3 linked regions of the Anolis sagrei genome follow. The protein of the gene in region 3 purifies or fractionates together with the protein of the main gene of each other region. This does not show direct contact. Links are inferred from orthologs where the notes say so. Each region holds a gene or a part of one and is shown on either strand. Other genes may lie near its edges.

The links. Proteins that work in one complex are often made in the same cells at the same time.
Region 1: the proteins of COPS7A (region 3) and DCAF11 purify together in Homo sapiens (affinity purification with mass spectrometry; 3 studies listed by BioGRID and IntAct, counting the BioPlex papers as one, with this or other methods). This does not show direct contact. The link is inferred for Anolis sagrei from reciprocal best matches to the Homo sapiens genes COPS7A and DCAF11.
Region 2: the proteins of COPS7A (region 3) and COPS8 purify together in Homo sapiens (affinity purification with mass spectrometry; 11 studies listed by BioGRID and IntAct, counting the BioPlex papers as one, with this or other methods). This does not show direct contact. The link is inferred for Anolis sagrei from reciprocal best matches to the Homo sapiens genes COPS7A and COPS8.

Annotation. Positions count from the first base shown.
Region 1 is NC_090026.1:8,259,120-8,267,131, forward strand, and holds the start of DCAF11 (DDB1- and CUL4-associated factor 11), read right to left. Parts: upstream 3,021-8,012; 5' UTR 2,913-3,020; intron 2,578-2,912; exon of another isoform or gene 2,502-2,577; intron 2,492-2,501; exon of another isoform or gene 2,283-2,491; intron 1-2,282. UniProt on the Homo sapiens protein: May function as a substrate receptor for CUL4-DDB1 E3 ubiquitin-protein ligase complex.
Region 2 is NC_090021.1:163,149,372-163,156,235, reverse strand, and holds the start of COPS8 (COP9 signalosome complex subunit 8), read right to left. Parts: upstream 3,021-6,864; 5' UTR 2,936-3,020; coding exon 2,849-2,935; intron 2,608-2,848; exon of another isoform or gene 2,401-2,607; coding exon of another isoform or gene 2,398-2,400; intron 1-2,397. UniProt on the Homo sapiens protein: Component of the COP9 signalosome complex (CSN), a complex involved in various cellular and developmental processes.
Region 3 is NC_090022.1:197,717,299-197,724,400, reverse strand, and holds the start of COPS7A (COP9 signalosome complex subunit 7a), read right to left. Parts: upstream 3,020-7,102; 5' UTR 2,911-3,019; intron 1,985-2,910; 5' UTR 1,953-1,984; coding exon 1,770-1,952; intron 1-1,769.

The DNA.
Region 1 (8,012 bases), on a different chromosome or scaffold from region 3:
CCCAGTATGGAATAGATCCCACCATGTTAAAACAGTGGATGTGGCTCTAAATGAGTCATGCTGAATTATCACAGAATGTCTATTCCCAACACCACTAGAGAAATTATACTTTTTTGCCGGTATTGCACCCCTTGATATCCGCCGGGATCAAGGCACTGACAACTCTGGCTCATCCTCTGTTCTGATATCAGGCAGCATGCCAACATCTTAAATTAAGAAACAGTTTCCTAAGATCTACAGAGATACTTGCAGGAACACCTCAGCAAGCATGACTGCAAAAGAAGCAGGCTAATACCCGGAACATCAGCCAGTGGCTGAGACCGAATGAGAAACTGCCTCCTGGGCACACAAAAGACTGGGCGACTTGGAAGGCACTGTGCTCTGGCACCACAAGATGCAGAGCCAATCTTAAGAAATGGGGCTGAGAAAAGCAAACCACTGACTACAATGCAACCTGAGCTCTGCCAAATGCACAATGGAGGATCTTCTCACAGCGACACCAGAGGCACTCCAAGTGGCTAGATTCTGCTCAAAGGAAATTTAGCAAAATGCCAAGATTTTAACTTTCTTTGTGGTTTTTATACATTATAATGAACCCCCGGTGACGCAATGGGTTAAACCTTTGTGCTGACAGGACTGAAGACCAACAGGTTGGAGGTTCGAATCCAGGGAGAGCATGGATGAGCTCCATCTGACAGCTCCAGCTCACCATTTGGGAACATGAGAGAAGCTTCCCACAAGGCTGGTAAAACATCAAAACATTTGGGTATCCCCTGGGCAACATCCTTGCAGACGGGCACTTCTCTCACACCAGAAGCGACTTGTAGTTTCTCAAGTTGCTCCTGACATGAAAAAAATTTGCTTCTGACACAATAAATAAAATTGTGTTATAAATACAGCTTTGGGGATGCAGTATGGAATTTTAATCAAGCCACTTTGAGTCCCTTTTGGGAAGGATAAAACAAGATGTAAATAAATATAATACTAATAAATTATTTTGCCAGCTTCTTATTTATTTATTTATTTATTTATATGCCGCCCTTCTCACCCCAAAGGGGACTCAGAGCGGCTTACAAGATACATATACACATACAATATATTATGCATAGTACAATATCAGTATGCTGCAAGTCGTTTGTGGAGTGAGAGAATCAGCCATCTACGAAGACGTTGCCCAGTGGATGCCCGGATGTCTTGCAATCCTGCGAGGAGGCTTCTCTCATGACCAAGGCAGTGACATCTCCAGCTCACCCACTGTTTGGGTATCAGCCAGCACTTCAACGACTTAAATCAAGAAATAGTTTTCTAAGATCAACAGCAAGCGAGAGTCCAAAACTGGCAAGTTCAAACCCAGAACCTCAGTCAATGGCTGATACTAAATGAGAAACTCCCTCCTGGGCACACAGAAAACTGGGCGACTTGGAAGGCGCTGAACAGACTGAGCTCTGGCACGAGATGCAGAGCCAACCTTAAGAAATGGGGCCACAAAGTGGAATCCACGACATGCGAGTGTGGAGAAGAGCAAACTACAGACCACCTGCTGCAATGCAACCTGAGCCCTGCCACATGCACAATGGAGGACCTTCTTATAGTAACACCAGAAGAACTTCAAGTGGCCAGCTACTGGTCAAGGGACATTTAATCAATTACCAAGCTTGCAAACTTTGTGTTTTGTTTGTTTGTCTGTTTGTTAAAAAAATGATATACAACTATCTGCACCAACTGCCGCTCTGGGCCAGAGTGAAGAGAGGGGAGGCCAGGGGACAGCACCATCTTGTCTCCTGCATTTGCCATCCGTTGGGGACCCCTCCCCCCAGCACCAACTGCCGCTCTGGGCCAGAGGGAAGAAAGAGGGGCCAGGGGACAGTTCCACCTTGTCTCCTGTGCTATTCTAATAATATGTTATAATATAATATATTGTATATACATATAATATTTATAATATTGTAATGTAATGCAATATAATACTAGTAATTGTTTTTAAATGCATAATGATTTTGTATTCTGTATATCTAAACTGTTGTAAACCGCTCTGAGTCGCCTAAGGGCTGAGAAGAGCGGTATACAAATAAAGTAAGTAAGTAAATAAATAAATCTGCTTTGCTCCTCACATGATAAATAAATATCAGTATTATATATTACTACATTATACTATACCATTATTATTAGTAGTAGTAATATTACATTTAATATAAAATATATAATTATATTATTATTGGTGTTATATTGTATTACACTTCTTGAGAGTTCCAATTAATTGGGAGGGTATTGTACTTACTTACCTATCATCCCCCTCCTGACTGGCTATCCTTTGCAGTGCGCCAACTCTACAACTTCCAGATACTAGAATACAATGCTCTCAGTCTCCCTTGTTTCCATGACATTCTCATTGGATTGTATTCTAACCACATTCAATCACAGTCGTCAGTACTAAAGAGAACGCACTGGCTCCCTTTTAAACTCCATTCTGGTGAGGCCTATCTGTGAAAATCACTCCTTACCCAGAGTTTACACTGTTATTTTCCCTCATCCCTCAACACCCCACCTCCTCCAGCCACCAATCAAGATGGGAGAAGTCCACTGAGCCAATTAGAGGGCTAAGAAAACCCTTTAAGGCCTCTCCTCCAATAAGCACGCGCCGTACTCGGGGCTTCCTCCAATCAGCGCTCAACATATTGGGGGGACACTCTGGCTAACCCAACGCCGCCCTCCCAACCCTCAACGTTCCATCCGTCCTCCCCACCAATCAGAGCGCCTTCCGCTTGCCTTCGTTCGAACCGACCTGCCGTCTCTTTCCCTCTACTCCTCCCCCTCCCCTCTCCTCGCGCCGCGCTCGGCTCAGCCAATCACAGGCCGCGCGCGCGCTCTTTGCCTCCCCCCTCCCTTCCCCGCGGGCGCGAGACCCTCCTCACCCTCTCAACGGTCACAGCGCGAGGCCTTGTTTACATCTTAAGGCGGAATCCGCCTCTGACTAGAGTTGGGAGCGAAAGGTGGGAGGTTCCAAGCCGGCTGCTCACTGATTGGCTGCGAGTCACTACCCCACGTGGGTCGGCTCGAGGCTTTTAAAAGCGTTGCGTCTCTTTGATTGGCTGCTAGGGTTCCAGGAGCGAGAAGGGGGGGGAATAAGGTTAATCGAATCTCCCATTGGACAATTCTCCAGAAAGGCGGGAGATAAGACGGAAAGCCGCTCTCTCATTGGTCGCTTCAGCTTGAGCGGCAGCCCTTCGTTGTGTAACCTCTGCCAGCTCTGCCAGGCGAGGCTACTTGGTTCTGATTGGACAGCGGCGAAGTGATTGGCAGGAGCAAGATGGGCCTTTGAGAGAAGCCTGGTGTCAGCTCAGGGCTCTGACAGGAATGGAACCAAATGAAACTTTGAGCACACATTGTGTGAAATGCCACCTCCTTCTTGACCCGAGTGTGTTTAAAGGACAGCTAAAGCTATAATGGAGAAAGGCAGGGAGTTTCAGAAAAACATCTATTTCTGCTTCATTGACTATTCTAAAGCCTTTGACTGTGTAGATCATAATAAATTGTGGCAAGTTCTTGGTGGTATGGGCATCCCAAGCCCCCTTCCCTCTCTCCTGAGGAATCTGTACAAGGACCAAGTAGCAACAGTCAGAACTGACCACGGAACAACAGACTGGTTCAAGATGGGGAAAGGCGTACGGCAAGGCTGTATGCAGAACACATCATACTATGTGCGGGGATTGATGAATGCAAAGCTGGGGTGAAAATTGCTGGAAGAAACATTAACAACCTCAGATATGCAGATGACACCACTCTGATGGCCGAAAGCGAGGAGGAGCTGAGGAACCTTCTAATCAAGGTGAAAGAAGAAAGCGCAAAAGCTGGGTTGCAGCTAAACATAAAATAAACCCAAGATTATGGCAACAAGAATGACTGACAACTGGAAAATAGAAGGAGAAAACGTGGAGACCAGGAGAAATGCCTCTAGAACATGGCCATATAGCCCGAAAAAACCCACAAGAACTGAACTTATATCCCCATACCAAAAAAGGGAAATGCGAAAGACTGCTCCAACTTCCGTACAGTGGCCCTTATTTCTCATGCCAGTAAGGTAATGCTCAAGATCCTGCAAGAAAGTCTCCAGCAAGACATGGAGAGAGAGTTGCCGGATGTTCAAGCTGGGTTTAGAAAAGGCAGAGGAACGAGAGACCAGATTGCCAATATCCGGATGCTGGAGAATGGAGAAAGGCAGGGAGTTTCAGAAAAACATCTACTTCTGCTTCATTGACTATTCTAAAGCCTTTGACTGTGTGGATCATAATAAATAGTGGCAAGTTCTTGGTGGGATGGGCATACCAAGCCCCCTTCCCTCTCTCCTGAGGAATCTGTACAAGGACCAAGGAGCAACAGTCAGAACTGACAACGGAACAACAGACTGGTTCAAGATTGGGAAAGGCGTATGGCAAGGCTGCATCCTCTCACCCAACCTTTTTAACTTGTATGCAGAACACATCATGCGAGGATGTGCGGGGCTTGAGGAATGCAAAGCTGGGGTGAAAATTGCTGGAAGAAACATTAACAACCTTAAATATGCAGATGACACCACTCTGATGGCCGAAAGCGAGGAGGAGCTGAGGAGCCTTCTAATCAAGGTGAAAGAAGAAAGCGCAAAAGCCGGGTTGCAGCTAAACATAAAAAAAACCAAGATTATGGCAACAAGAATGATTGACAACTGGAAAATAGAGGGAGAAGATATGAAGGCCGTGAGAGACTTTGTATTTCTAGGCGCAAAGATGACTGCAGATGCAGACTGTGGCCAGGAAATCAGGAGACGCTTCCTTCTTGGGAGGAGAGCAATGTCCAGTCTCAATAAAATAGTAAAGAGTAGAGACATCAGACTGGCAACAAAGATCCACCTAGTCAAAGCCATGGATGTGAGAGCTGGACCTTAGGGAAGGCTGAGCGAAGGAAGATCGATGCTTTTGAGCTGTGGTGTTGGAGGAAAGTTCTGAGAGTGCCTTGGACTGCGAGAAGATCCAACCAGTCCATCCTCCAGGAAATAAAGCCTGACTGCTCATTGGAGGAAAGGATACTAGAGACGAAGTTGAAGTACTTTGGCCACATCATGAGGAGACAGCAAAGCCTAGAGAAGACAATTATGCTGGGGAAAGTGGAAGGCAAAAGGAAGAGGGGCCAACCAAGGGCAAGATGGATAGATGGCATCCTTGAAGTGACTGGACTGACCTTGAAAGAGCTGGGGGTGGTGACGGCCGACAGGGAGCTTTGGCGTGGGCTGATCCATGAGGTCACGAAGAGTCGGAAAGGTCATTCCAGTCACTTCAAGGGTGCCATCCATCCATCTTGCCCTTGGTTGGCCCCTCTTCCTTTTTCCTTCCATTTTCCCCAGCATCATTGTCTTCTCTAAGCTTTCCTTTCTTCTCATGATGTGGCCAAAGTACTTCAGCTTTGTCTCTCCTCTTCTTCCCTTCAATGAGCAGTCGGGCTTTATTTCCTGGAGGATGGACTGGTTGGATCTTCTCGCAGTCCAAGGCACTCTTAGCACTTTCCTCCAACACCACAGCTCAAAAGCATCGATCTTCCTTCGCTCAGCCTTCCCTATGGTCCAGCTCTCACATCCGTAGGTGACTATGGGAAATACCATAACTTTAACTATGCGGGTCTTTGTTGCCAGTGTGATGTCTCTACTCTTCACTATTTTATCAAGATTGGACATTGCTCTCCTCCCAAGAAGGAAGCGGCTTCTGATTTCCTGATTTCCTGGCCACAGTCTGCATCTGCAGTCATCACCTAGAAATACAAAGTCTGTCACGGCCTCCACATTTTCTCTATTTCCCAGTTGTCAATCATTCTTGTTGCCATAATCTTGGTTTTTTTTAATGTTTAACTGCAACCCAGCTTGTGCGCATTCTTCTTTCACCTTGATTAGAGGGCTCCTCAGCTCCTCCTCGCTTTCGGCCATCAGAGTGGTGTCATCTGCATATCTGAGGTGGTTAATGAGTTTTTTCGGGCTATATGGCCATGGTCTAGAGGCATTCTCTTCTGACGTTTCGCCTGCATCTATGGCAAGCATCCTCAGAGGTAATGAGGTCTGTTGGAACTAGGCAATTGGGTTTATATATCTGTGGAATGACCAGGGTGAGACAAAGGACTATTGTCTGCTGGAGCTAGGTGTGAATGTTTCAACTGTCCACCTTGATTAGCATACAATGGCCTGACTGTGCCTGGGGCAAACCTTTGTTGAGAGGTAATTAGATGTCCCTGCCTGCTTCCTCTCTGTTATTGTGCTGTTGCAATTTTAGAGTTTTTGTTGATTTTTATGGTTTCCTCCTTTCTGTTGAAATTGTCCACATGCTTATGGATTTCAATGGCTTCTCTGTGTAGTATATCTAAGGTGGTCAGTTGAAACATTCACACCTAGCTCCAGCAGACAAGAATCCTTTGTCTCACCCTGGTCATTCCACAGATATATAAACCCTTTTTCCTAGTTCCAACAGACCTCACTACCTCTAAGGATGCTTGCCATAGATGCAGGCGAAACGTCAGGAGAGAATGCCTCTAGACCATGGCCATATAGCCCGGAAAAACCTACAACAACCCAGGATTCCGGCCATGAGAGTCTTCGACAATAAGGTTGTTAATGTTTCTTCCAGCAATTTTCAGCCTAGCCTTGCATTCCTCAAGCCCCGCACATCACATGATGTGTTCTGCATACAAGTTGAATAGGTTGGGGGAGAGTATATAACTATATATAACTATATATAAGCATTAGATATATAAGCATTATATATTACTATATTCTACTATACCACTATACTGTAATATTACATGGAATATATATCATTATTATTATTATTATATTGTATTATTAGGAATAGTAGTATATTACATTATAATATTATCAATGTTATATGTATATACAACATATTATATTATTAGCATAGCACAATATTAGTATTATATAGTGTTGCTGGGAGGAGGGGCCCGTAACTGGTGGTACAGGAGACAAGGTGGAACTGTCTTCCTGGCTTCCTCTCTTCTCTCTGGCCTCAGAGCGGCAGTTGGCTTTAGAATTAGCTTGTTGTTGTTCATTCGTTCAGTCGTCTCCGACTCTTTGTAACCTCATGGACCAGCCCATGCTAGAGCTCCCTGTCGGCTGTCACCACCCCCAGCTCCTTCAAGGTCAGTCCAGTCACTTCAATGATGCCATCCATCCATCTTGCCCTTGGTCGGCCTTTTTACTTTGTTCTTTCACCTTGGTTAGAAGGCTCCTCAGCTCCTCCTCACTTTCGGCCATCAAAGTGGTGTCATTTGCATATCTAAGGTTGTTAATGTTTCTTCCAGCAATTTTTACCTCAGCCTTGCATTCATCAAACGAATATAGTAATATATAATGCTAATTTTGTGCTATGTTAATATGATATATTGAGTGTAGAAATAACTTGCAAGCTGCTCTGAGTCGCTTCAGAGTGAGAGAGGGTGAGGTATAAATGTAGTATATAAGTAACTAAATAATTCCTTTTTAATGAAACAAATCATTTTTAAGTATAGCTATGTCTCTTAAGGACTTGCATTGGAAAAACAGTGGGATATTAATCAAATAGGTAAATAACGCAAAAAAGAGTTATGAATGGGATGATTTTAAAATTGTGAATTCCTTTTTATTATTAGTAGGGTTTATTTTTTCTACATTTACTTTATTTGAACTTTTTATTGTGTCTAATGGTAGAATATATTTTATGTACATATATATCAGGCTTGGGGAAACTTGGGCCCTCCAAGTGTTTTGGATTTCAACTCCCACAATTCCTAACAATTTCAGAAATTGTGGGAGTTGAAGTCCAAAACACCTGGGGGCCCCAGTTTCCCCATGCCTGATATATATGGATGTGCATATGTGTATAAATTAGTATATAATATAAAGCTGGATTAGTCATTCTACCATTAGAGATAAGTTACAACAAAGTAAATATCGCAAATAAATGCTTATTCTCAAAATAAATAGACCCCTATTTTTCAAATTCTGA
Region 2 (6,864 bases), on a different chromosome or scaffold from region 3:
CACAAAACGGCAAATCAACAAAACTCACAAACCCCCCAACGAAACTTAACCAAAATTCCCATGCCCATAACACAACCCATAAGGTACAAACATATCTACTCAAAATGAAAAACAACACAACAACACACTCACAAAATGGCAAAACAACTGAGCATGCGCATTGGTGCCCAGCCGCAAGTTCCCTGGCGCGCGCACACAGTTCCCTCTGCGGAAGCCATGCCCACTCCAAGCCCCGCCGCGCCGCTTCCCGCACACACACCCCCGCCGCACGCACACACACAACCCCACGCTCCATCACTCCCCCGCCGCACACACACACGCAACCCCACGCTCCATCACTCCCCCACCGCCACACACACACGCGCAACCCCACTCCCCCCCGCTGCCGCACACACACACGCAACCCCACGCTCCATCACTCCCCCCGCTGCCGCACACACACACACAACCTCACGCTCCATCACTCGCCTGCCCCAATCTTACCTCCTTTTACTTCATGCCACCTCCAAACCCCACCGCACCCCTTCCCGCCCTGTCAAAATCCAGGAAAGACAGGAAGGAAGGAAAGAAGGAAGAAAGAGAAAGGGAGATAAAGAAAAGGGGGAAGGAAGGAAAGTTAGAGAAAGAAGGAAGAAGAAAAGGAAAGATGGAAGGAAAGAAAAGAGAGACAGCAGAAGAGAAAGAAAAAGGGGGAAGGAAGGAAAGAGGTAGAGAAGGAAGAAATGAGAGACAGAGGGAGGGAAAGAAAAAGGGGGAAGGAAGGAAGGAGAGAAGGAAAGAAAAAAGGGAATGAAGGAAGGAAAGAGGGAGTGAAGGAAGGGGGAAGATGTAGAGAAAGAGGGAGGGAAGGAAAGAAGGAAAGAGAGAAGGAAGGAAAGAGGCCAGAAGAGAAAGAAAAAGGGGGAAGGAAGGAGATAGAGAAGGAAGAGGAGAAGGAAAGATGGGAGGGAAGGAAGGAAGGAGGGAAAGAAGGAGAGAAAGAGGGAAGGTTGGTCACAGCAACACGTGGCGGGTAAAGGTTGTTATTTCTATGATTATTATGATGCTATTATTCCTATGAGACCCTTTTAGGGGGAATGGGAGAGGTGTCAGGTCCCGGAGGCAATGCATTGCATTATTGTTATTGTTATGATGCTGGTGAAATAAAAGGAAATAAAAAGTGAAAGAAGGAAGCAAACAGGGAGGGAAGAAAGGCAAAGGAAGAAAGGGGGAGGGAATGAAGGAAAGAGAGAAGGATGAAACCAAGTAGTGAAAGAAAGAAAGAGGTAGAGAAGGAAGAAAGGAGAGAAAGGGGGAGGAAAAGGGGGAAGGAATAGGTAGGGACCTCTCTTTCATAATAGTCCAGATATCTACCTCAACTTTGATAAGTTTTACTATAGGCCACAGCAACGCGTGGCAGGGCACAGCTATACAAATACCAAGAAGATCACATCTCATGAGATGTTTTTCTCTAATCTGAGTTTCTCAAACTGTATTCCTCCAGATGTTTTGGACTTCAGATCCCACAATTCCTAACAGCTGGTAAACTGTTAGCATTTTTGAGATCTGAAGTCCAAAAGACCTGGAAGAGCAGAGCTAGTTTGAGAAACGCTGCTCTTCATTCATATGAATTTCTTTGAAATCACGGCAACTGTGTTTTAAAAACTATAGGTGCATCCATACTGTGGAAGGAATGCAGTTTGAGAAAGTTTATACACTACCATATAAAATGTGGCTCTTAATGAGACATGCCGTATTATCATGGGGTGTCTGCGCCCTACACCACTGGAGAAATTACACTGCTTAGCTGGTATTGCACCACCTGACATCTGCCGGGAAGTAGCAGCCAATAGTGAAAGGACCAAGGCAGAGACATCTCCAGCTCATCCCCTGTTTGGGTATCAGCCAGCACGTCAACGACTTAAATCAAGAAATAGTTTTCCAAGATCTACAGAGACACTCGCTGGAACACCTCAGCAAGCGATAGTCCAAAAGTGGCAGGCTCAAACCCAGAACCTCAACCGATGGCTGATACCAAATGAGAGACTCCCCCCTGGGAACACAGAAAACTGGGCGACTTGGAAGGCGCTGAACAGACTGCACTCTGGCACCACGAGATGCAGAACCAACCTTCAGAAATGGGGCTACAAAGTGGAATCCACGACATGCGAGTGTGGAGAGGAGCAAACCACTGACCACCTGCTGTGATGCACCGTGAGCCCTGCCACATGCACAATGGAGGACCTTCTTGCAGCAACACCAGAAGCACTTCAAGTGGCCAGATACTGGTCAAAGGACATTTAATCAACTACCAAACTCACAAATTTTGTATTTTGTCTGTTTGTTTGCTTTGTTATGTTAGAAATGTAATATAATTGATTGGTTGCACTGACACGACAAATAATAATAAATAAATACCATATAAATCCAGACTATCTTCTTTGAACTGGATTATTTAGCAATGTAGACTCATATAATCGAAGCAAATATTGTGGACTATCTGCTTTGATAATGTGGATTATATAGCAGTGAAGGGGACACCACATGGCTGAATGCTCTGGAATCACAGTGTTTGTAGTTTATTGAAACACTCGGCAGAGGAGGCTAAAAGGCCTTGTAGAACTACCACTTCCATGCGTCCCAGAATTAAGCCATGGTAGCCAACCGCACTCATTCTAGCATGTGTCCATAGAGGAACTGGTGAGGGCGGCCCATTCATTCCCACTTTGCTCCTTCGGCCTAGGGAAACCCCGGCTTTCAGGCGAGACGGTCAAACCCTGGGTTTGTGAGGGTGACGAGGAGGGCCCCGTCCCAGACTCGAAAGCGAGAGGCGAGGAAAGCCTATTCCACGCCCGGTTCCCTTCCTGACCTCCAGCTCCTGAGTCTCGCATTGCTCCAGCAGCTTCCGGTAGCTGAAGGCGCCACTCGCCGCCGCCGCCATCACGGCCACTGGCATCTTCGCACCCTGTCCCACTCCCGCCGATGAAGCGGGAAGACGGGTGCTTCCTGGAGACGGAGGTGGGACCACCGCACGCTGCTACGTACTTCCGGCCTCACCGTGGTGACGTCTCCCCAATCCTCTCCAGCGATTCGCCAGTTTGTGACGAGCGGGTCCCGCTTTAGGAGAACGCTCAGGACCATAGAGATAGAAAAAGGGAAGAATGCCGCGTGACCCGCATTTAAAGTTTTAGCCGGTTGATAGTGCATCTAAAATAGCAGGGGTCCACAAACTTTTTAAACAGAGGGCCAGGTCACAGTCATAGAATCATAGAATCAAAGGGTTGGAAGAGACCTCATGGGCCATCCAGTCCAACCCCCTGCCAAGAAGCAGGAATATTGCATTCAAAGCATCCCTGACAGATGGCCATCCAGCCTCTGCTTAAAAGCTTCCAAAGAAGGAGCCTCCACCACACTCCGGGGCAGAGAGTTCCACTGCTGAACGGCTCTCACAGTCAGGAAGTTCTTCCTCATGTTCAGATGGAATCTCCTCTCTTGTAGTTTGAAGCCATTGTTCCGCGTTCTAGTCTCCAAGGAAGCAGAAAACAAGCTTGCTCCCTCCTCCCCGTGGCTTCCTCTCACATATTTATACATGGCTATCATATCTCCTCTCAGCCTTCTCTTCTTCAGGCTAAACATGAGCCTCAAGCCGCTCCTCATAGGCTTGTTCTCCAGACCCTTGATCATTTTAGTCACCCTCCTCTGGACACATAGAATCATAGAATCAAAGAGTTGGAAGAGACCTCATGGGCCATCCAGTCCAACCCCCTGCCAAGAAGCAGGAATATTGCATTCAAATCACCCCTGACAGATGGCTATCCAGCCTCTGTTTAAAAGCTTCCAAAGAAGGAGCCTCCACCACACTCCGGGGCAGAGAGTTCCACTGCTGAACGGCTCTCACAGTCAGGAAGTTCTTCCTTATGTTCAGATGAAATCTCTTCTCTTGTAGTTTGAAGCCATTGTTTCATGTCCTAGTCTTCAGGGAAGCAGAAAACAAGCTTGCTCCCTCCTCCATGTGGCTTCCTCTCACATATTTATACATGGCTATCATATCTCCTCTCAGCCTTCTCTTCTTCAGGCTAAACATGCCCAGCTCCTTAAGCCGCTCCTCATAGGCTTGTTCTCCAGACCCTCAGTCTCCCTCAGTCCCTCAAACTTGGAGGGCCGGATTATAATTTGAAAAAAAAAACATGAGTGAATTCATATGTACAGTGCACATATATTAACTGTAATGCAAAAAACACGTAAAATTAATATAATAATTAAAATGAAGAACAATTTTAACAAATATAAGCTTATTAGTATTTCAATGAGAAGTGTGGACCTGCTTTTGGCTGATGAGATAGGATTGTTGTTATTGTGTGCTTTCAAGTCGTTTCAGACTTAGATTGACTCTGAGCGAGGAACAGGTAAATGACCTTGGAGGGTCGTATTTAGCCCCCAGGCCTTAGTTTGAGGACCCCTGTACTATAGAATTCACTGTGACTTCACTTCACTTCACTTTATTTCTTAATTAGTCGTTCTCCACCAAGGGGCTCCGAGCGACTTACAATCTAAAATAGCATTTACACAATATAAAAACATTCAACATAAAAACATACAACAGTGACTATTTGGCAAATTAGATCTGATTACTTAAATGCACAACCAACCAAGTCTTGTGTGCCTTTACAAAAGGTCGCAACTCCGACATTGCTCTAATGTATGGAGGCAATGAGTTCCACAGAATTGGAGCATAGGTCGAAAAAGCTCTACGCTTTGTAGTGTTAGAAACCCTAAATTGGGTCGTTTTAGGTCCACGTTGCAGGAGCACGGAAGGAAGAAGACAGTCCCAATGAAAGATTAAAAAACAAGGTTTTATTTTAGTTTCTTCATGAAGAAGACGGACAGCCGGGCAGCATGCGCAGATGCTACCCTTCAAATGACTGCCGTGCCCCCTTGGCTTTTGACCACCAAATATATAACCTCAAGTAAACAAGAACATTTTTTGTCATGGAAAAGTACTCCCTTTCCACCCCCCTCTCTTGACTTTTTGATGGAAAGTACCTTCTTGTATATGCAGCCTCTGCGCTTCAAAAACAACATTTGAAGTTAACCACAAGCATCCTGTGTAAGAAAGTTCCCTCTTGTACTTAAAAACATTTTCTTCCGTATCCTGGCAATCCAGACAACTTAGACAATTGGATTATGTTGGCCAGGAGAGTGAAATACAACAAAGAGCAGATGCCGCGTCGTTCCAGAGAGGAGGGCCGTACCAGGCATCCAGCGGTGGGTCAAGCCGGAGGGATGTGACACCCTTCCCCAAGAGGCTGGTCGATGAGCAGAGAGAGGAAGGGAAGGCGAGGGACATGCTTCACATGTGGGTGCGAGGGCCGGTGGTGGCAGAATGCCCAAAAGGAACAAGCCTGATCATGGGTGATAAACCCCCCAGCCAAAAACCATCACCTGCTCCCAAAGTTGCAAAAGGGAAGGCCTCCACTGCAACAGCAACGGCTTTAGTTCCCGCCCATCTCCCTGCCGAAGAGGTTGAGCTGGAGGAAGGAGAAATGGAGAGCTGGTTGCAGGGAAATGACAGCGATCTGCTTTAGGCACCTGATTTTTTTTTGTCATGTCAGGAGTGACTTGAGAAACTGCAAGTCGCTTCTGGTGTGAGAGAATTGTCAGTCTTCAAGGACACCCGGATGATTTGATGTTTTTATCATCCTTGTGGGAGGCTTCTCTCATGACCCCGTATGAGAAACTGGAGCTGATAGAGGGAACTCATCCGCCTCTCCCCGGATTCGAACCCACTGCGCCACCAGGGGCTCCTTCTTAAGACAAGTTTTAATATGGGTATTTTAAAGAATGTTTTTAGATGAAAGTATGGTTTAACAATGTTGTAACCCACCTCAAGCCATGAGGAGAGGAGGGTAAGAAATAATAATAATAATAATAATAATAATAATAATAATAATAATGCAGCATATATCTCTCATTTGCTGTGACATACTGTGTTTTTGTGTCAGTCAAATAATAGTGTTGTATGATACAACTTTGATTGGCATGGCTCAGTGCTGTGGAAACATGAGAGTTCACTAATAGTCAACACGGATTTAGCAAAAACAAGTCATGCCAGACTAATCCGATCTCTTTTTTCGATAGAGTTACAAGCTGGGCAGATGTGGGGAATGCCATGGATGTAGCGTACCTGGATTTCAGTAAAGCCTTCGACAAGGTCCCCCATGACCTTCTGGCAAACAAACTAGTCCAATGCGGGCTAGGCAAAACTACGGTGAGGTGGACCAGTAATTGGTTAAGCGGACGAACCCAGAGGGTGCTCACCAATGCTTCCTCTTCATCCTGGAAAGAAGTGACAAGCGAAGTGCCACAAGCAGGGCTCTGTCCTGGGCCCTGTTCAACATCTTTATTAATGACTTAGACGAAGGGTTAGAAGGCAGGATCATTAAGTTTTGAGATGACACCAAATTGGGAGGGATAGCCAGTACTCCAGAGGACAGGAGAATTCAAAATGATCTTAACAGATTAGAGAGATGGGCCAAAACTAACAAAATGAAATTCAACAGGGACAAATGCAAGATACTCCACTTAGGGAGAAAAAATGAAATGCAAAGATACAGAATGGGGGACGCCTAGCTTGAGAGCAGTATGTGTGAAAAAGATCTTGGAGTTCTCATGGACAACAATTCCGATGAGATGCCACATAACACCAATCTTACTGCAGCTGCATTGGTTACCAATTGAGCACCGGATCACTTTCAAAGTGATGGTACTTACCTTTAAGGCCTTGCATGGTCGGGGGCTGATGTACCTGAGGAACCGCCACACCCCCTACCAACCCCAGAGATCCCTCCATTCTGAGGACCAAGATTTGTTGGAAATTCCCAATGT
Region 3 (7,102 bases):
AGAGGAATGGCAACAATTCTTACCGCTTACTTTTCCCCAGCTTGTCCCAAAGCCTGTGCTTCCAAAATTTTTCATTTCATTGCTAATGAAATAAAACTTTTCTTCTCACCGTTTTAAGGCACAGAATTTTCAAATATGAGCAACAAATGAATTTTATGAGCCAGTCCCATGAACCACACTAGTGGACTGTACTTGTAACTGTGGTGAAAAATACATTATTTATCTGGGCCTAGAGTTAATATGATGAAGTGCTCTTCCATATAATAAAACAAATTCTCTGTACATATAATACTAGATAAGGATATCCTAGCTTACTGTGGGCAGAACTTCTGTTGCTGAATGATGGCACAAAACACAGTACTTTAACCTTTCACCTGAAGTCTAGATTGGTGCAACCCAAAGAAATATCTACATCCTGGTGAAAATTGTTGCACACGTACGATTCCAAATTCCTCATGGTAGCACAACACTCTGGTGTGAGAGATGCTGCATTTTAACTGGTGAAGTGCAATGTTTATATATATTCTACGATGTTTATATGTATAATGTTTTAATGGTTTAAATCATGTTTATGTGTTTATTGATTTTAATTAATCATACTATGTATCGCTCTGAATTTTGCCAAATTGTAAGCCGCTCTGAGTCCCCCCCGGGAATGGTGCAATGTTAATTTTCCTCTATGTTTTAGGTGATTGTGTTTTTATGCATAGCGTTTTAAGGGTTTAATTCATGTTTATATGTTATTGATTTTGGTTAATGTTATGTATTGCTTTTATATGTATATTGGCATGTTGTACACTGCTCAGAGAGACAGCAGTATAGAAATGCAGTAAATAAATAAATATAGTAAATAAATAAGAAACATTGTGTGCTGGACTAAATGGATTCCTGCTCAGTCAGACAGCTTACTAGGCGACCTTGTACCAATTCCTCGCAGGTTTGTTTTGAAGAGGAAGAAGCAGGGAACCATATACATCAATTCAAGCCATTTGGAAGAACAATGGAATAAAAGTGCAATGACCCATAATTTGTCTAGGTTTTTAAGGTCAAAAGGTTCAAAAGCAACATACTCATCCCCCCCCCCCCCCCCATAACACAACTTTGATTTCGCTGTTAGTTACATAAACACAGGATGCTTCCGGCTTTGAAAAATTATTTGGGAGAATAATGTGCGAGGCTTATGACAATGGTTCCTCAACTTTCTCCTTTCAACACTGACATCAGCTGAAATCCTGAGTAATGCAAACTAATACCTTACCCTCAAACACATTGTTCTTCCTCTGCCTATCAGCATAGATGCTGAGAGAAATGTCTCTGCTCTTACTGGTGTCCTTCAAGAATAACTGAAGTCTTCCTAAAGACCTCAATAACATTGTTTTCATTGTTGCTGACTCATGACATTTCTCCAGTGGTTATGAGAAAAGGCCCCTAACCCTTCTTCATTAATGCTAATAGACCTTGTAACAGGAAGCCAATGAGAAAACTAATCAAACTGTGCAGGCACAAACAAACTTCATACCTCCAAGTGTATTAGACTTCAAACATCTGGAGGGCCGAAGTCTGCCCATGCCTGGTTTAGAAACATGTTTGCCCAAATAAGGCCCTTTGCTCTGGGAAACAATTTAGTGTGGCCTTTTATAACATCAAAGCATTAAGGCAGTCTTAAAAGGCAGAACTGGGGTTGCTCAGACTCAGGGAAACCCCCAATCCCTCCAGCCGCCTTCCAGGAATTATACAGATTTGGCCCCTGAGGGCCGGTCAGGGCTCACCTCTCGGACGTTGGGCATGTCAAGCAGCTCTCCAAAAACATAGATGCCAGGGGCCTCCAGCACTTGGTGGATGAGGCTGGCCAAGGCTGCTCCCCGGGCAGACTTTGCCAGCAGCAGGAACTGCTCCTGGTTCTGCCCCGTCACTTTTACTTCCACTTCGGCTGCCATGGAGTCGCCCCGCATTCTGCTCCAGGGCCAGGACACAGGCCCGCCGCCTGAAGGATGGATGGAAGGAGCAAGCAAGTATCACCAGCAGAGCTTTTCCAGCAGGCTCTTCCGGCAGGCTTGCCCAGTCAATTTTAAAACTCAGTTTTAAATTTACATTCTATTACTATTGTACTTTATCTTTTGTACCATGTATTTTAATATATACATTTTATTTTGCATATTTTTATAGGTGTTTTAACTGTGTTGTCGTCATCCCCCGTTCCCCGTCCCCCCCAATTGAACCTGATATGAGCTGAAACTGGCTGTAACACACTGACGGATTCCAGCATCCCCTCACAAGTGGTAGAACCGGTCTCCTAAACATCACATTCTAACCAGACTGTGGTATATCTACCCCACTAAAGAAACACTATGTAACACGATTTTTGTTCCTGGATAATAAATGTCATTTCCTGATTTGTTCTATCATAACAATATGGGAAAAGTTTATTAAACTGCAAAAATTGTGTTTTTGCGGGGCATCCTGCAGCACGTTTTGCTATAATTTTTCAATTAATATCTGACCAAATCTCAAATAATTCAACAGTTTGTGGTAGCCATAAAAACAAAGTTTCTGGAGTATATCAACTACTTTCAAAGTAAGTATCACATAATTACAAATAAAGTAATTAGTAAAGCGGTATACAAATAAATAAATAAATAAACAGGAAATAACACTTTCAAACCAGGAACAGATCAAACTTTCAAAAATGTACCCAATCACTTCGGTCCAGAGCTTGGTAACTGGTGTCTTAGAGCAACAAAGTAGGCCTCGGGGAACTCTGCGGGCCGAGCCCCCCAAATCGAGGCAGGCCCCTCATTCCCCGTGACACACAGAACATTCCAGGCTGCACATACAGCCCAGAGAGGCGGCTAGCGCCCCAAATGCGCGTTTGCGGGTGGGTGAAGGGGCCGAGGCCCTCTGGCGCCCTACCTGAGGGGTTCCCGCCCGGACCCGCCACGGTTGCTGTCACCGCCACCCCTCTCGCCGGGAGACAGACCACTTCCGGGTTGGTGCCGTCACAGCTACCCCGCAGGCACCGCCTCCTAGTCTTCTCATTGGCTGGCAGCGCCTGACAGACATCCCGCGCGCGGCTTTGAGGCGCCTCTAGGAGGCGGGGCTTGACGGCTTCCGCCCAGGAAGGCGCCCCGCCCCGCCCCCTTCGAGGCTCCTCCCCCTTCGAGGCTGTTGCTTCTGTTTACAGCCAGTACTTCCTCCATTTAACCATAGCAACAGCAAGTGGTCTGCTGCGAAGGGAGTCGATGTCCTGAAATGCTACCTGTATATGGTCCCCTATTGTCCAGTTATCTCTCTCAGTGTCAATTATACTGTTGGTAGCCATCCTCAACTACCAATTTTCTTTACGCCAGGCCACCTCAGGCTGTGGCCCTCCAGCTCTTTGGGCCTCCCAACTCCCAGCTTGTTCAGTAGCCAGGGATTCTGGGAATTGGAGGCCCAAAAAACTGGAGGGCCACAGTTTGATGATATTCCTGCTTAAGGCCTTTCTTAAGAAACCTGCCTTCACTCTCTTCCAGAAATAAAGCTTTATAGGTGGGTCATGAAAGCAACACTTCACTGAATAAGGAGAAAATAGGCCGAGGATCCTACTGTACACGAAACGCTGTGAAATAATACGGTGTTATCTGTATGCAGATTACGTCTAAACCTGTCACTCCTTCCCACCTGTTATTAAGGTGGCTGTCCAGACCTTGAACCGGTGCGTGGCCGCTGGGTCGTATTGGATGAGGGCTAACAAATTGAAATTGAATCCAGACAAGACAGAGGTTCTCTTGGTCAGTAGAAAGGCCGAACAGGGCATAGGGTTACAGCCTGTGCTGGATGGGGTTACACTTCCCCAGAAGACGCAGGTTCGCAGCTTGGGATAGATCCTGGACTCATCGCTGAGCCTGGAAACAGAGAAAAACTTGTGCGCCAGCTGTGCCTGTACCTTAGGAAGTCTGATCTGGCTATGGTTGTCCACGCTCTAGTTACATCCCGAATAGATTACTGCAACGTGCTCTACATGGGGCTGCCTTTGAAGACAGCTCGGAAACTCGAGCTAGTCCAACAGGAGGCAGCCAGATTACTAACTGGGGCAACATACAGGGAACATATCACCCCCCTACTATGCCAGCTCCACTGGCTGCTGGTCCACCTCCGAGCCCAATTCAAAGTTCTGGTTTTGACCTATAAAGCTCTATATGTTTCTGACCCAGTTTACTTGTCCGAACGCATCTGCCTTTATGTCCCATCCTGCAATCTAAGATTGTCCAGGGAGGCCCTGCTCTCGCTTCTGTCAACATCGCAAACGCGTTTGGCGGGAACAAGAGACAGAGCCTTCTCAGCTGTGGCCCCCCCCCCACCTATGGAATGCACTCCCAAATGAAACTGATTGAAGATTGATTCCATCCCTCCTGGCTTTCAGGAAAAAAAAAAATTAAAATTGTGGTTTTGGGACCAGGCCTTTGGGCAGCAGACGTAATTTACACCTTAGTGGACTTTGACTGGAATGGCGTTGTGGCAGATGACATTGTCATTTTGTTTTACTGTTTTAATTAATGCTATATGTACTGGTTTTAATTACTGTTTTTGTATTTGATTGTGTTTATATTATTGTAATTGTGATGTAGCGGCCTTGCACCGTTACTAATGTAAGCCGTCTTGAGTCCCCCTTCAGGGGTAGAAAAGAGACGGGGTATAAATATCATAAATGAATGAATAAATAAATAAATAATTTCTTACCACCTCTCCCTATGGCTTAAGGTGGTCATGATTTTCATATCTGGACTTGGAGAATGGAGACGGCGGTCAAGAAAGAAGATGACTAGGACTTGGGTGGGCAGCTATAAAGAAACTTGACAACTTGACGCCTTGGAGGTGTCTACAGACAATGCCAGCTCTTCGACTTAGAAATCGATATGAGCATCACCCCCCAGAGTTGGACATGACTAGACTTAATGTCAAGGGGAAACCTTTACATATGTGTGTGTGTAAAACTTGTCCATGCCAATGTACTTCCAATTTCTATATATGGTTGTGAAAGTTGACCAGCGAGTAGAACAGATAAAAAGAGAAAGTCAATTCATTTGAAATATGGTGCTGGAAAAGGGTTATGGATACAGTTATGGACAGTTAAATGCACTAATAAATGGGTCCTAAAGCAAATCAAGCCTGAATCGACACTGATGTAAATTGTGTCCAATATTATGAGAAGACATGACTCACTGGAAATGACTAATCCTCAATAAAATCAAAGGTGGTAGGAAAAGAGGAAAACCACATTCCAGGTGGATAGACTCAAACAAGGAAGCTACAACCCGAGTCTCTTAATAGTTAATAAGCATAAGGTGGTATAGGGACAAAGGAAAATAGAAGGTAGTCATATTCTGTGTACCATAGGAGTTTCTTTACGTGGTTGAGAAAACTGGACAGCAAAGAGACCTGCAGGGAAGAACATTAATTCATTTGAAACTTGGTGCTGAAAGTCAGTTTTACAGATATCGCAGAGTGCCAGAAGAATTAAGTGGGTCTAAAAGCAAATTAAGTCTGCATTCTCTCTAGAACCCAAAGGGACTGACAAAAGTATCATACTCCTCATAAGATGAGATGATACATTGGAAAAGATGATACTTGGAAAAATATAAGGTAGGACAAAAGGAAGATCACTTGATGCCAAACAACAACGTACACTTGAGGGGTTTGTCCCAGAATATCATAAAGTTAATCTCAAAAGAAGTACCAAGAGGAAATGGATGAAAAAAACTCTCTCTCTTCATGAAGCCAAAAACACCAGGAATACAAACACAAGAAATCAACTAACCCAAAGTTCCTCAAAGTGGACAAGAGCAAGCAGAAGTCTTCCAAAGCGGACAAGAACATGAGGGCAACTGCTCTCTTGAAGCCCTAAACTCCTGTCCTCTGGTTCTAGCACTCCCTCTGGCACTAGCTCGTAACTCAAAACACTGCTCATATGTCAAAGCAAAACCTGGGCTGAGCAACCTTTCTTACCTCAAAACCTTCTTAAGTAGGGCCACTCTTAAGTTGAGATTCCACTATATATAAGTCATCATATCCAGAATGCAGTCGTCCTACTCAGTGTGTTTACAGTATTGTAAAAGTCCCAAATAAGTAATATAACCAAAGCTACAGTAACCATTTTATATGTTATTATTCCTGACAGGAGTTTTTATCTAATCAATCAGAAGTGTCAGTCTATTACCTTATTATCCTTATTGATACCTCAGGTTTTCATTTGCTACATGGCAAAGCAGCCTTTAAGATTTTTTTTTTTTTTGGTCGTGTCAGGAGTGACTCCTGGTGTGAGAGAATTGGCCATCTGCAAGGACATTGCTCAGGGGACGCCTGGATGATTTGATGTTTTTATCATCCTTGTGGGAGGCTTCTCTCATGTCCCCGCATGAGGAGCTGGAGCTGATAGAGGGAGCTCATCCGCCTCTCCCCGGATTCGAACCTGCGACCTGTCGGTCTTCAGTCCTGCCGGCACAGAGGTTTAACCCACTGCACCACTGGGGGCTCCTAACCTTTAAGATGATGGGGACACACACTAACAAAGCATGTTTAATTAAAAAGTACTTCTTAAAAAGTAACTTTCCAAAAGTGTCGCTCCTGCCCCACCTCCCAATCTGCCTCTCTTCCTCCCCAGCCTTTAAGATGATGGGGAGGAAGAGAGGCAGATTGGGAGGTGGGGCAGGAGCGACACTTTTGGAAAGTTACTTTTTAAGAAGTACTTTTTAATTAAACATGCTACTTGCTCTACAATTCTTCCCACATTATTTGTTAGTGTGTGCTTTGCAATTGTTATAAAATGACTCATTATATTATTTGGAACATTTCACTGTTTCTCCTTTCATTTAAAAGGATCCCTTAGGATTGAAGATAATGACGCAACACTTGAAAAGCTCTTATCAAAATGTCTCCAACATGCTTAAGAAGTTTTTAAGAAGAAGTTGTTGTTATGTAATAGAGAAAACAATATGACTCCCATGCATAACCATTTTCAAATGGCAAGTTGCTATTCCCTGTTGGAGGTAACATCACTACTTGTAGCATGCTCTTTCCATGTTGTGGAAAGATTTGTGGTATGTGTAAGGATGTATATGTGTGT